Elephas maximus indicus: one gene and its partner. The protein of the gene in region 2 purifies or fractionates together with the protein of the main gene of each other region. This does not show direct contact. Links are inferred from orthologs where the notes say so. Each region holds a gene or a part of one and is shown on either strand. Other genes may lie near its edges. The genes, in order: COPS5 and DCAF4.

The links.
Region 1: the proteins of DCAF4 (region 2) and COPS5 purify together in Homo sapiens (affinity purification with mass spectrometry; 4 studies listed by BioGRID and IntAct, counting the BioPlex papers as one, with this or other methods). This does not show direct contact. The link is inferred for Elephas maximus indicus from reciprocal best matches to the Homo sapiens genes DCAF4 and COPS5.

The regions. Positions count from the first base shown.
Region 1 is NC_064833.1:75,494,202-75,501,901, forward strand, and holds the start of COPS5 (COP9 signalosome complex subunit 5), read left to right. Parts: upstream 1-4,571; 5' UTR 4,572-4,853; coding exon 4,854-4,996; intron 4,997-7,700. UniProt on the Homo sapiens protein: Probable protease subunit of the COP9 signalosome complex (CSN), a complex involved in various cellular and developmental processes.
Region 2 is NC_064828.1:85,745,317-85,753,345, reverse strand, and holds the start of DCAF4 (DDB1- and CUL4-associated factor 4), read right to left. Parts: upstream 3,078-8,029; 5' UTR 2,926-3,077; exon of another isoform or gene 2,862-2,925; intron 2,823-2,861; exon of another isoform or gene 2,773-2,822; intron 1-2,772. UniProt on the Homo sapiens protein: May function as a substrate receptor for CUL4-DDB1 E3 ubiquitin-protein ligase complex.

The DNA of each region.
Region 1 (7,700 bases), on a different chromosome or scaffold from region 2:
CTCGATCCTGTAATTTTGAGAGCCAGCCTCTTCCAAAAGATGAGTCCTATTGCTACCTTTACAAAAACTGGACTTAAGTCACAGATAACACTAAAATGAAGGCATTTAGAAAAAAGAAATTCTAGCTCAAGAAGCCAAGCAATCACAGAAGTAAAACTGGATAATAATAGCACCTATCTCATAGGGCCGTAGTGAAGATTAAGTAATTACTTGCAAAGGAAAGCTCTGGGAACAGCGCCTGGCGCACCAGCACTCAACAAACGTTAACCACTAACCAGCACCCAGGCGCTCCGGGGGGCTTCGCCGAGCTACGGAGCCGGGCGAATGCGGAGCGAAGACGCCCGAAAGGGAGGACATGGACCGTCCCAGGTGGCTGGGGGTGAATGCCTTTTTAGGAAGCGTCAACGCGTAGTCAGGCAACCGGGTCACAACAAGACGCAGGGCTACAACCCCCGTGTCAGGGCTGCGTAATCTAGGCACCTCCCCCGTTCCACCCCGCCACCGCGAGACCCCCGCCCGCAGGCCCAGCCACCCGGACACCGCCCCCGCCCCACGACCTCCGCCACCAAGGAGCCCCTGCTCCGCCGGGCAGACAAGAGACTCCCGTTCCCTCGGGGACCCCGGCCCGGTGACCCGGGCACCGCCCGCGCCTGCCCGGCATCCCCTAGACTGCCGCCCGTAAGGAACCGCCAACCCCCAAACCCGGACACCGCCCCCGCTCTGCCCAGCAGTCGTGAGATCCCCGCACCCTGCCTCGTAGCACGGGCACCTCCCCCGGCCCGGGCGCCGCGAGACCCCCGTTCCCAGCGAACCCTCGCTCCGCGCGGCAGCCGTAAGACCTCCGCCCTTCAGCGAGCGCCGGTCCCCCGTTACCTGGACACCGCCCGCGCCAGCTCGGCAGCCGCTAGATTCCGTCCACGACTCCATCACCCGGGCATTGGCCCCGGCCGGCCAGCCGCAAGAACCCTGTGCGCAGGGACCCACCGCTCCCGCCCCCGCCGCAGGGCCGAGAACCCAGCCCCGGAGGGATCCTTCCCACAGGGCCACACCCGCAGAGCCCGCTCTCCAGCCCCAGCCGGCGGACTCTTACTCAGGAGGGCCGGTTTTCACCCGGGGAGCCGCAGAGCGCTCCGGTGAGGCGCCTTCACTGTCCAGAGAAGTGGCGGCGGCCGCCCGGCGCGGGAACAGTGTGACAGGCCACCCCGCCGGGCTCCGCCTCTCAGGCCGAGCCCTCTGCCCACCCTTTGCCAACGGCCGGGCGCGGACCCGCCCCCACTGCCGCCCTGCGGGGAGGCCTCGAGGCCTGGGGCGCCCCCTGCCGCCCGGGAGGCCGCACGGCCGCCCGCTGCACGTAAGGCTTTGTCTCCTGGTTCATGGGTTCCTTCCTGGGACTCTTAAACCTCTGTGGGAGCCACTTCCCAGGCTGAGTCCTTCCAGAGCTACTCCCGCCCCTAGGCACCGGCTGGGAACAGGGTGGTGGTCGTTAAGTGCCTTGGGGTTCTGACTCAAAGTGACCCTACTGTGTACAACAGAATGAAACACGGTTCTTCACCATCCTCACAATGTTGCTGTGTGTGAGCCCATTGTTGAAACCACTGTGTCAAACCATCTCCCTGAGGATCTCTCTTTCCCTGACCTTCTACTTTTCCAAGAATAATGTCTGTCTTCAGGGACTGGTCCCTCCTGATAAAATGTCCAAAGTACGTGAGACAAAGTCTCACCACCCTCCCTTCTAAGGAGCATTCTGACTGTATTTCTTCCAAGACAGCTGTTCATTCTTCTGCAAGTCCACGGAATATTCAATATTCTTCACCAACGCCATAATTCAAAGATGTCAGTTCTTCTTCGGCCTTCCTTATTCATTGTCCAGCTTTCCCATGCATAGGGAAAAAATTTTTTTTTTTTTTGCACAGGAGGCAACCGAAAACACGATGGCTTGGGTCAAGCACACTTTAGTCCTCAAAGTGACGTCTTTGCTTTTTAACACTTCAAAGAGGTCTTTTGAAGCAGATTTGCCCAATGCAATGTGTCATCTGATTTTCTGACTGCTGCTTCCATGGGCGTTCATTGTGGATCCAAATAAAATGAAACCTCACTCTTTTCTCCATTTATCATGATGTTGCTTATTGGTCCAGTTGCAAGGATTTTTCTTTATGTTGAGGTGTAATCCATAGTGAAGGCTGTGTCTTTGATCATCAGTAAAAGCTTCAAGTCCTCTTTGCTTTCAGCAAGCAAGGTTGTGTCATCTGCATATGGCAGGTTGTTAATGAGTTTTCCTCCAATCCTGATGTGGAGTTCTTCACATGGTCTGGCCTCTCAGATTATTTGCTCAGCATACAGACTGAATAACTATGGTGAAAGGATACAACCCTGACGCACACCTTTCCTGACTTTAAACCATGCAGTATCTCCTTGTTCTGTTTGAACGACTGCCTCTTGGTCTATGTACAGGTTCTGCATGAGCACAATTAAGTGTTCAGGAATTCCCATTCTTTGCAATGTTATCCATAATATGTTATGATCCACACAGTCAAATGCCTTTGCTTAGTCAATAAAACAGAAATAAACATCTTTCTCATATTCTCTGCTTTCAGACAAGATCCACCTGACATCAACAATGATATCCCTTGTCACACCCTCCTGAGTCCAGCTTAAATTTCTGACAGTTCCCTGTCGATGTACTGCTGCAACCGTTTTTGAATGATCTTCAGCAAAATTTTAATTGTGTGTGATATTAATTATATTGTTCAATAATTTCTGCATTCCCCCTGGATCCATTTGAGCCTGGAAAGAAAAAAGAGGAGGGGAGAAAGTGAGAAGAAAACTGTTGGCATGCTTTTACGGGGAATTACTCCTCATCCAAGAGTCTAGTCAATGTTATGTCCTGGGCTTTTATTACTATTCTCAATGTTATTCACTTCACCCCAATATTGAATGTTCCAATGTTACCACAAGAAAAGAGATCTCTAACTTCCCAGGAGAGTGGAACTAAGGGTCCTTTATCCTAAAGTACTTTGTAAGGAGACCTTTAAAGGCAAATTTTCTTCAGCTGGAAGTCAATGTGAAACCTGCAAGCCAGGGTGTGGATTCAATAACTCTAATTTTTTTTTTTTAACCATATGCCAGGCACTATACTATAGGGTTGTCATGAGCCAAAATTGACTGAATGGCAATGGGTTTTTGTTTTTTTATTATACTAAGAGTGAAGGAGGCAATGCAGAGTGTCCTGCACTGAGTCTTACAATGAAAATGAAAACTTCCAAGTAAACAAATGCATTTTAAAAATTAATAAAATACACGGTGGAAGCAATGATCACTGGAGGAGGAAGTCAAGAAAGGTTTCATGGTAGCAATCTCTGATTTGTGTTTTTAAAGATTACCACGAGTTTCCAGGCAGAAATGTCAGGGAAGAGAATTTCAAGCGGTGGTGATCGCATGTGCAAACCCAAAATAAATGCATTGGTATTTTAAGAACGAGAAGTTTTTGGGGGGGAGACTAAAGAGAGATGAAGCTAAAGAGGAGCAGAGGAACCAGGTGAACAGCTTTAACAATATTTTTTTTTTAAACAAAAATTTACTGAACATCTAATATGCTAGGAAGGAGCCAAGATGACACAGTGGTTGAAGACTCAACTGCTAACCAAAAAGGTCATCACTTTGAACCCACCGGCCGCTCTGCAGAAGAAAAGGTATGGCGATCCGCTCCCACAAAGATTACAGTCCAGGAAACCCTATGGGACGATTCTATTCTGTCATACAGGGTCGCTAGAGTTGGAATCCACTCCAAGACACAAAACAGTATGTTAGGTGTTAGAGATAAAACAAGGAATAAGACAGACCCGGTCCCCCGTTTTGGAACTTAGAATCGGGGTTGGGGTGGAGGGTGGGGTTGACCTAAAACGAGTAAACTAATAAACGGAATAATTAGACCTGGTTTTTTTTTTTTTTATTATTAACTGTTGGAAGAAAACAGGTTGCTAAAATTTTATTCGGACTCAGGGTCAGAAGAGGTTTCACAGAATGGTATTGAAGATATAACTGTATCTATTATAAAAACAGTATTGGACATTTTCAGGACAGTAACTAGCTCATAATACATTGAATACAGATGCTAATTTTTACAAACAAGCCAAGAGGGACAACCACTGAAGTCCACATGGTTCCATACCTACTCCCAACACTAGAGGACGTGCATCTGAAAACGGTGCGCCAAGCCGCCCACTTCATTTTACGCATGTGCAGTTAGTCATCTTGAAGTAAAACAGGATGACTTTATCTTCCTTTCAACCAGCATCCGGAACTAGGTACATCTCAGCCTTCCACAGACATCCTTATTTTTTAGTTATTCAGGGAACCTATCTTATTTAAGATAACCTACAACCTCACAAAGACACTTTTTCCCCCTATTATGGCTGAGGCCCTACCCATTTTTAATATGGCGGAGATCGAGCCTGCGCAGTACCAACAAAGAAGGCTAATTCCAAGTGCTGGCATAACGCGTGCATGACCTTCTTCCGGTGTGGAAGGCTGTACCATTCCCAAGCCCGATTATTGTGTTTGTTCTAACTCACACCTCTAATTTCGAGTGGATATGTTCTCATTTCAGCCACAAGGATATTTCTCTTTCCCTATTATTGTAACTGCTGTTTATACCGTCGCTTCCCCGAAGGGCCCCCGCCATCCCCGAATGGTCTGTACCACCTTCACCTCCGGTTCTAGGTGTCATGGCAGCCTCGAGAGTCTTGTAAGAGTGTAAGACCGGTGAGGGGGGAGGGTTGGAAGCCCTCGCCCCGAGACCTAGTGGGGTAAAGTTGCGTCTTGGTTGTGGAGGCAACAACTCCGACTCCTTGGCCATGGCGGCGTCTGGGAGTGGTATGGCCCAGAAAACCTGGGAATTGGCCAACAACATGCAAGAAGCTCAGAGTATCGATGAAATCTACAAATACGACAAGAAACAGCAGCAGGAAATCCTGGCGGCGAAGCCCTGGACTAAGGAGTGAGGAAGTCCCTGGCGAGACGCTGGGAAGGGAAGGGGCGGCGGGGATTTAAGAGGAGGCCCAGGGGGAGTGGGAGTTGAAGGGGGTGGAGAGCTTTGCCTTGTGTTTTCATGGTCTGGGAGGGGAGGGACTGTGCACCTGAGAGATTTCGGTTTACCTTTATCTCTGCTGCTAGAGCCTAAGTTCCTCCGCTGAGGCCTGCCGCGACTCCCCCTTCTGTCTCTTTGACCCATTTACCTCCGGGGGATGGAGGTGGGGAATGAGAAGCGGTGATTTGGGCTGACACGTCTCAGCATCCATATTATCATATATGCCACACACTCTGCCATGAAACCTGTGTGGACATTTACCAAGGTGGGGCCTTCGGCTGATGCCAGCTGGTGACTGGAGCCGTCTCTAAAATAGCTATGAGCTGTCTTTTAGAGAGGTGTAATAGTTTTTGTTTGCTGGTAGTAATGTCAGAGGCACCCAATCTCCCCAAATATTACTCCAGGCACCACTTACCATAAACCAGAAATTATATCAATAAGAGCTTAAGCCACTTTGCCTCTTACAAAGTAGATGTATCCCTGGGAATAAAGACAAGTCGAGTGTTCATCACATCATAGCATTTATACTTTCCTGAGGGAAGATTTTGATAGACAGTAAAAAGAACACAGAAAGTTACTATCTAGGCAGCGGTTGAATTCTCACCTTCCACACAGGAGACCTGTGTCGATTCGCACCAATGCACCTCAAGCAAAGCCACCACCCATCTGTCAGGGAAGGCTTGCATATTGGTATGATGCTCAGTAGGTTTCAGTGGAGCTTCCAGACTAAGATGGACTAGAAAGAAAGGCCTGGCAGATCTACTACTGAAAAACCAACCACTAGAAACCCCTATGGATCACAATGGTCAGATCCCATTGTGCATGATGTGACTGAGTCTGGGCCTACTCCATAGCAGCTAACAATGGACAGATAAGAAGGAGAGCTGTGGTCACCCACAGAAACTATATTTCCATCAGTGACTCCATGGCACTGGGTTTTTTTCCCCAGTTTTGTACAAGGCTGGCTTTAATTGACAGTATCTAGATTCAGCAGTGTTTACTGAGTACCTAATAAGAGCCGAGCACTGAGCTAGGTAGGAATTTCCATATGTCATTTAATCTTCCTGACAACCTAGTGCTATATATTCTTTTTTTGTAAATAAGAATACAAGTAAATATATTCAGTAACTTACCTCACAATGACACTGAGCAGTGAACACAACTCAAGGTCACATCTCAGAGTTGGCAGTGACTAGTTGATTGACCTTGGGAAAATTACTTATTCTCTTTGAGTCTTCAATTTTTTTCTATAAAACAGAGATAAGACTTACCTCTTGTTGGTTTAATAAAGATTATATCATGTAATGTATAAAAAGGGTCTAGAATGTATGTAACAGGAGCACATTAACTGTGCCTTCTTTTTTTTTCCCCCCAGTAAACAGAGGAGCCAAGATTTTAATTCATGTCTCTGATTCCTAAGACTAGGTCTCCATATTTTTCAGCTTGTGATTGAAATCTGGCAAAGTTTGAGAATTAAACTTGAATATTTTCTGTGGGAGGTCATCTAAAAAGCCTTCTCAGAGACTTTGACTGCTCTATTCAGACTTCTTACGTTGCCTGTTGTCTGCTTACTTCTGTAGCAGGCTGTGCATTTAAGGTTGATGTAGTCCATTTGGAAACTGTATTGGTTTGCCTCACTGATTATATTTCTAATTAAATTCAGCCTAACATCTTGGGATTCATCAATGAGACCAGAAATGTAATTTTATTCAAGAGTTGTTTAGCTCCATCCACAGATGACAAATTCTAGAATAACGATCATAAGGAAACTAGGAATATTAGGGCTACATTTTTAATTTTGAGGCTTATAGCACAGAGGGAAACATACCTTTCAATACAGTGTTCTTTGGTAGTGCCATAAAAAAAAAAAAATACATTGCCATCGAGCCAGTTTGGACTCATAGCAACCCTATAGGACGGAGTAGAACTGCCCCATAGGGTTTCCAAGGAGCAGCTGGTGGATTCAAACTGCCGACCTCTTGGTTAGCAGCCGAGCTCTTAGCCACTGTACCACCAGGGCTCCTGGTAGTGCCACAGAGAGGTTGATAATTCTAATAAGAGTTAAGTAACACTAAAGTTTCAGTATGTGTCAGGCACTGTGCTATGTACTTTATATACATTATTCCATTTACTTTAACCCTGCTTGCAGGTGGGAAACTGAGGCAAAGACATTAAGTGATTGGCTTAAGGCCACCACTAGTGGCAGTGCCAGGATTCAGACCTAGGCAGATAGATAACAGAGCCCATAGTTTTAATTATTAAGCCAGAAGGTTGGACCTGAGAACAGTTAGGCCTAACCATCCAGCCAGAGTCAGAATCAGATAATCAGTGACTCCAAAATTAATGGAGAAAAAGTCTTTTGAACCAGTCATATAATTCTCTCCTTTCTACTTGGATAGCATATTTAAAAATTTTCAGACTTTTCCTTTCTTCCAAGGGGAAATAAATGCATTTCAGATTATAACATGTTTATTATTTCCAGCTGTCTGCAGGAACTCTGTCCTTTTCTGCTGTTTTTTTCTTTCCTACAATCTGCAGTCTGTCTCCCCTTCCATCCCTGTACATTCCTTCAATATTATCTTCAAATAATAAATGTCCTTTGAAATTGTACTTT
Region 2 (8,029 bases):
ACATACGTATATTGTTGTTAGATGCCATCGAGTTGGTTCTGACTCACAGCTGCCCTACGCACTACAGAACGAAACACTGCCTGAGCCTGCGCCATCCTTACAATCGTTGTTATGCTTGAGCCCATTGCTGTAGCCACTGTGTCAATCCATCTTGAGGGTCTTTCTCTTTTCTGCTGACCCTGTACTTTACCAAGCATGATGTCCTCCAGAGACTGATCCCTCCTGAAAAACACGTCCAAAGTATGTAAGACGCAGTCTCACCATCGTTGCTTCCAAAGAGCATTCCAGTTGAACTTCTTCCAAGACAGATTTATTCGTTCTTTTGGCAGTCCATGGTATATTTAATATTCTTCGCCAACACAATTCAAAGGCATCAATTTCTTCCTTCAGTCTCCCTTATTCAGTGTCCAGCTTTCACATGTATATGATGCAACAGAAAATACCATGGCTTGGGTCAGCCACACCTTAGTCTTCACGGTGACATCTTTGCTTTTCAACACTTTAAAAAGGTGCTTTGCAGCAGATTTACCCCATGCAATGCGTCTTTTGATTTCTTGACTGCTGCTTTCATGGGTGTTGATTGTGGGTCCACGGATAATGAAAGCCTGACAACTACAATCTTTTTCTTCATTTATCATGATATTGCTCCAGTTGTGAGGATTTTCTTTTCTTTATGTTGAGGTGTAATCTGTACTGAAGGCTGTGGCCTTTGATCTTTATCAGTAAGTGCTTCAAGTCATCTTCACTTTCAGCAAGCAAGGTTGTGTCATCTGCATACATATGAGGCAACTGAAAATACCAAGGCTTGGGTCAGGCGCACCTTAGCCCTTCAAGTGACATCTTTGCATTTCAACACCTTTTGCAGATACGCTCAATTTTGAGTTAGGGTCAATTCAATACAAAGAATTAAGAGAAATTTTGTGGGTGTAGTAGTCACATATGTAGCTACTACATACAAAAACTACAAATATTACCATTCCTCTCATTAAAACGGAACAATACACTTTTTAAGTGAGGTAATTTTTCTAATTACTTTAAAATGTTGATCTGTGTATGCTGCAAATACGCATTAAGTGGTCTGCAGATGACACACTTTGACAAACTGTACCCTGAATCTATTAAAAGAAAACAGCAATCTGTACAGCCTCTAAAACATACTGAGAAACCCCATCCGCTCATCTTACCTATCTCTGCTCATTTCTTCCAATCGTTTTTTCCCATTAAATCCATTTTCATCTCCATCAAGATCTTCAAATCCTTTGACCCTTCCCTTTTCTTCAGGTTCATTAACAACTCTGGACTTCTTTTCTTTCCTAAAGTCTGCGCCCCAGGGCCAAACACAGGACGAAAACTGTGGGGAAGCTTCCCCCTCCCCAGCTTGCTTCTGGAATATCTTTCTCTTAATCCTCCTCTTGCCTGTCAGATTAATCGTTTTCTGGCTTCTCGTGGGTCACCCACTCTATGTTTTCCACACTGTTCTGTCCTTGTGCCCACATGTGGACTCTCTCTTTAATGTTAAAATATTTTTTACTACACCCAGCTTTATTCTGCATTGTTAAGACAGGAACTTCTCATTTATTCTCCACAAAAGCTTTGTGCATATTAAACAGAAAAGTTATCAGCACAGTGGTGATACACAGATTGACAATACGTGGTTCTAAAGTCAAACACGTCATGAGAATTCAAATTCAAAATTGGAAACAATTTTATCTGCCGACAGCATGAAATCCGGCACATATTCCTTTTTAGATTACGTTTCTCAACTAAGGGCAGTTTTGCTCCCCCTCCCCCCAGGGGACATTTGTTAATGTTTAGAGACATTTTCAGTTGTCACAACTTTTGGGGATCAGGGGACTGAGGACGCTACTGGCATCTAGTGGGTAGAGGTCAGGGATCCTGCAAACCATTGTACAATACAGGACAGAGAACAGCCTCATAGGGTTTCCAAAGGAGCAACTGGTGAATTTGAACTGCCAACCCTTTGGTTAGCAGCCAGTCTCTTCACCACTAGGCTGCCCAGGCTATACCAGACCAGTAGGTCTGATCTTATTTATGAGTTTGAATTTTTTTCTACATCTCTCTCCCTCGCCTACTATTGTGGCCTCAAAGGTACCAAGGATTGTGAAGATGGCGCAGGACTGGACAGTGTTTCGTTCTGCTGTACACAGGGTCACTACTGACTCGGAACTGACTGGAGGGCACCTAACAACAAGTCAACCGAGGGGACAAGGATTCCCGGACTCTGCAAGCACTTATGTGGAATACTGGCTTTCCTTGATAACACAGAACTCAGTGTGGAGATTAAAGGCCCAAGGTCTGGACTCAGGAGGCTTTGGTTCATGGCAGAGTCCCACCACTTCCTAGTTGGTGAGCTACCTTGCGCGAGTTACAGCCTCGCTACCCCTCTTTCTGCACCTGACAAAGATACTACTGCCTATACCTCATAGTGCTGCTGTCTGGAAAACTTAGTGCCTGTAGTCAGCGCAGTGCCCAGCATTTAGTAAGTGGGCAATATGAATTAAGCTGTTATCCTGACCAGTCCGAAAAAGTCTTATCACAATCTGAACTTTAACAGGGGAGAAACCGCCCCCAAGGGTACCTAACACCAAGCGGTCGGTGGGGCCTCCGGGATAAGAGTTTAGAAAAACGACCCTTCTGCTTCCCCTTCCCGGTGTTCACAGCTGCAGATCCGACCCGACAAGGCAACGCGCGCTCCACGCCCACGAATTTCGCACCCCGGGCAGAAGCCCAGCCCGCCCGGTCGGTCCCTACCTCCGCCACGGGCAGGTCGGCGTTCCACGTGCTCGGCTCCTCCCCGCCCCTTTCCCTGGCCTCCCTCTACGCCCTCAGCCACCCGAGACCTGACGCGAGCAGCAGCCGCTCCCGGCCTGACGCCAACGCGCACCTCAGGCAGCACCGACCCACCGGCTTAGAAGGTCTCTTCCGACTGCCCCTAGGTCCCGGCCCGGCACGGGTAAAAGCCAGGCTAGGCGGGACCCGGAACCACCAAGCTGCAGCGTCCGCCAGTTGGGCGTATCCGTTCTTATATTGTAGCAGCCGATAGGGCCACGGCGAACGCCGCTTCCTTCTCATTGGGTGTGACTTCTGGCTGTCGACGTTAATAGGGTCGATCTAACGGGAGGCGGGGCGTGGGGTTCGGGTCCGCCCAAGCCTAAGCGTGAAAGCCACGTGTCTGCAGGCCGGTCTGAGCCGGGCGCGGCTGGGGGCGTGGCCGAGGCGTGGCCGAGCGGGGGCCGGGAGCTGCTGTGTGAGCTGCGGGGCTCCGAGGCGGCTGGCTCTGAAGTAAAGGGTCTTCCTCCGAAGCTCGTTTACTTCTCTGCCTGCAGCCGACGGACGACCCGGCCCCCGAAGCCCTCTCGCCTCTTGGGGCCTCTGGCTTCAAGTCTGAGGCTTGGAGAGAGAGAGGGGAATATTGTGTTGGGGGAAGGGCAAAGGAGGTTTTGAGATGAAGGAGAGCAAAAGGAAGAGGGTGCCGTCTTTGGCAGTGACTTTAGGTGTCTGAGGCAGCTGACATGAAGCCTGCGTGACTCCGACGTGCCGAGGAGCGTGCCCCAAACTGGCAGTCAGGAGACCGGGGTTCTCCCTCTAGTTCATTTCTTACTTGCTGTGTGAGTCTCTTCCGTTCTCTGGGTCTCAGTTTCCTCAGTTGAATCAGGGAAGTTGATCTAACGTTCTGTCGTTCTCACCAGCGCTGAATTCAGTACAAAGTGGAAACAACCCAAATGTCCACCAACAGATGAATGGATTAACAAAATGCGGTATAGCCATACATCAAACCCGAACCCAGTGCTGTCGAGTCCATTCGGACTCATAGAGACCCTATAGGACAGAGTAGAACTGCCCCATAGGGTTTCCAAGGAGCGCCTGGCGGATTCGAACTGCCAACCCTTTGGTTCGCAGCCGTAGCTCTGAACCACTAGGCCACCAGGGTTTCCGTAGCCATACAAAGGAATATTATTCAACCGTATAAAGAAATGAAGTTCTGATACATGCTGCAACGTCAGTGAACCGTAAAAACCTTCTAATTGAAAGAGGCCAAACAAAAGGCCACATTATATGAGTCCTTTCATATGAAACGTCCAGAATAGGCAAAGCTATAGAGACAGAAAGTAAGTTGTGGGTCCCCGGGTCTGGGGTTATGGGGTGAGGGATAAGGGGGTGATACTTAAAGGGTATGGGTTTCTTTTTAAGATGATAAAAATGTTCTAAAATTGACTGGTGATGGTTTCATGTTGTAAAGAAAGTGACACCTCCCCCCCCCCCTTCTTGTTTAAACATAACCTTTCACAGAAACTTAAAAACTTGTCGTGATAAAGACAGTTTTGGGCAAAGCTGAAATAGATAAGCCACAACTAGCCTATAGAATGCAAAGTTAATAAATCAGTCCAAGCTGCCTCCTCCTGATTCAGGGAATGGCAACCAATCATTTTAAATTTCTCTTTTAGGAAACAGTTTGTACTGTGTGATCGAAATTGTAATGTGACAAGCTCACCTCTTTGGAGGGGTGCTTTCTGTTGTCAGTTTTTTCTGCAGTTGAAACTTTTTAACTCTAGGTAACTTATTGGTTGGATTTTTTCATTCAACATGCACATCTGTGAATATACTAAAATCTATTGAATTTGTAATTCGATTTGAATTTGTGAATGTGTTGTGATAGAAAGTGACTGGGGTCCTGTGTTGGGCTGGGCATACATTATCTCCCCCCAACCCCTTGCACTTTCTGCCCGTTTTTGCCCTGCTCTTCCAAATCCACGGAATGTACCTGGGCTTCCCTGCCATCTGACTTCTGAACGAGTTCAACCAATGAGAGGCATCAGCAGGAGATAGGTGGGTGAGAGAAAGAAATCAGAATATTGCTTCCTCCCTCCCTGCCCTGGGGTATGTTTTCAGGCAGTGGTTCCTCCTCAGAGTCCAGCTCCCGGCAGGCTTCAGGAATTTCATTTTCTCTCTCTCCCCTCCCTTCAAGCCTTCAGATGGTAGTAGCTTTCTACAGTTGCCAGCCCCTGGGTGCCCCAACAGGTTTTTGTTTGCTTGTTTTTCCTTTACCTTGCCCAGCCATTATCCAGTTACCGTCCAGTGGATTCAGACTCATGGTGACCCCATGTATGTCAGAGTAAAACTGTGCTCCATAGGGTTTTCAATGACTAGTTTTTCTGAAGTAGATCCCTAGGCCTTTCTTCTAAGGCACCTCTGGGTGGACTTGAACCACCAACCTTTCAGTTAGCAGCCACATGTACCATCTGTTTGTACCACCTAGGGACCTCTTTACCCTGCTAAACTTCTATTAATAGTTCCTTCATTGAAGTTTCTTGAACCATCCCAGTTGGATTCTATTTAAGGAAAGAACTTTTTGAAGAAATTACTTTTTTGGGTTGTTTGTTTAAGCAATTATTGTGACCATTTTTTTTTCCAGATCAGTAAATATTCTTATATACTTTTCTGGAAACCCTGGTGAGAGTAGTGGTTAAGCGCTTCAGCTGCTAACCAAAAGGTCAGCAGTTTGAATCCACCAGGCGCTGCTTGGGGATTGTATGGGGCAGTTGTGCTCTGTCCTGTAGGGTCACTATGAGTCGGAATCAACTCCACAGGAATGGGTTTGGGTTTTTTTGTTTTGTTTTGTTTATATACTTTTCTAGAAAAAGCTCAGTCTGATTAGTTCAAAAAAAGAAAACAATAGCCAGACTTGTCCTTCCATAACTGAGTGCTGAATGGATTCTGTTTTTTTGCCCTGCCCCTACCCTGATGCCTAAGTGTCCTGGGCTGTGCATTAAAATGGGTGGTATGCACACCTTGTGACTCTACATCCCCAGGCATCTAGAGTAGCCAAGTAATGCTGTTTTTCTGGCTTCTTTTATGTTTCAGAACTGCATTTCCTTTATCAGGCTTCACCCTCAGCCATGCATTTCTCCACGCACTACCCTCAGGAGGGGTCTCAGCCACAGGGAGTCAGTGGGGCCCTTTCTTGCACACACAGGCCACTGTGGAGCCTATTTTTCCACCTTCTTTATTACCTTCTCCCCTTGGTGCCCAGAATTGGGCTTCTGTTTGGAGAATTCTTCCCATAATTTTTTAAACTCCCCCCACCCCTGTTTAGCATTTGTAAGTGTGGGTTCTTCCAAGGATGGTTTAGAGAAGAGAAAGAGGAGGGGCCGCAGAAAGGACACCTGCGATGGCTTCCAAGAGCACCACTCATTTTTTCCGCGAGATAGAACACTAGAAGGATGAGTATTGTTTTCCGTGGCTGACTTTATCAGTGTCAACGGCTTTATAAGCATGAAAAGCTATAGGCTAAGAGAAGGGGGGACAAAAAGTCTGCAAAAACAGGGTGATATCAGGACAGGAAAAAAATCGAGGCATGTAACTGTTCCAGGTGTTACTGCCTCCCTGGTTTCTTCTGCACTGGAACCTCTGTTTAAACACTGACAGGAGGAGGATTGCCTTTAGGGGATGTGAGAAGGGGTGTGGGGAAGCGTTCATCTTCAGCCTAGTGTTGGGAAACAGCAGAAGGACTTAAAGCGGAGCTGAAATTAGGAACTATGTGTGTATGTGCCTGGGAGGCTTTTTAAAAATCTGATGGGAATGTAGTTCCTGGTCACAGAAGAAGCCATGAGGGCCTGGAATGTAATCTTTTGGTTGTTTTTTCTGGGATCACAGATTTACAAAGTCAGGTAAACCAAGAAGGCTAAAGTAAGGAACCTCTTTAGCTCTAACTTGTGTCCCTTCCCCTCCATTTCTCAGATGAACCAACACTGATTATAAAATTAATTTCTTCCTTGTTCTGTCCCAAATTTGTCTCCTCTCTTATGCATTAAGAGGTAATTTGAGGCACCGTGCTCCCAGCTTTCCAGATTATAAAAGTATTAAACTACGGAGAAAATGAGACAATGTATTTGAAAATGTTTTGTACATTGGAAGGAAGACACTTCATAAATGTTGCTTAGTGCTTGCTGTTCATGATCACTTGAAATACATCCTAGACGTTAAGGCTCCGTACTGTGGAGCCAGTCCTGTGTTCGAATCCAGTTGCATCACAATTTAGAGATGGTGTGTTGGGCATGGTGCTTGGCCTTTCTGAGCCTCATTTTCCCCATCTGAAAAATGAGGATAATAAGCATATCAGTGTGCTGATTAAATGTACTTGGAACACATAAAGCACTTAGAACAGTGCCTCACCCATGGCGACTACTCAATAAATCAGTGAAACTAAGCCAAAATATTGCATTGCAACCTTCTTCCACAGATACAGTGGAAATGCCAGCAGTTTAGCAGCACCACCTTGAGAAAGACCTGGAAAGGTCAAGGAGAATTGCAGAGGGAGGTTTGCCAGGCATTTGTTTTTCCATCCTGAGGCATGGGTGTGATTTCCCTACCTCTCCCCTGAGGCTGCAGCTCCTTCAAAGGAGACCAAGAATCAATGGAGTCTTCAGCAAAATAAGATTCTCTTTCTATACTTGGCTTCTTTTCACATCACTCTGGCCAGTGTCTAATGATGAAATTGGCTCATTTTCTAGAACCAAATAGACATTTGTTCCCTGTAGCCCATGGTGCTAGTGCCATTATTAATGAGCTGCACCGATGCCCATTGCTGTAGGAATCATTAGGGAAAGCCTGATAGACTTCTGTTTACTGCCAAGGGAGGTGTCAGAGGCAGAGAAAGCACAGCTGGGGCCTCCAGCCCCCAGCAGATCGTGCAGTTCAGGCAGCCAGAACAATCATTCTTACACTTGCGAAGTGAGGACATAAATTCTAAGAGGAATAAAAATGGGTAAGATAAAACATTCAAGGGTAAGATTTCAGAATCATTTTTTAGGTTTCTGAACTGTTGAATAAGTTAAGGTAACACAGCAGTGCAATTTGAAGCAAACTCCCTCAGGGGGCAGCAATTTGAGCAATGCCCGGTTAAGACAGGGAACAGAGGATCCCCAAATCTGCAAACAAAGTAACAAGAAATGGGTCAGGGTGCAGAAACAAAGCCATTCCCCAGAACAATGGGGCAGGGTATCAGAAA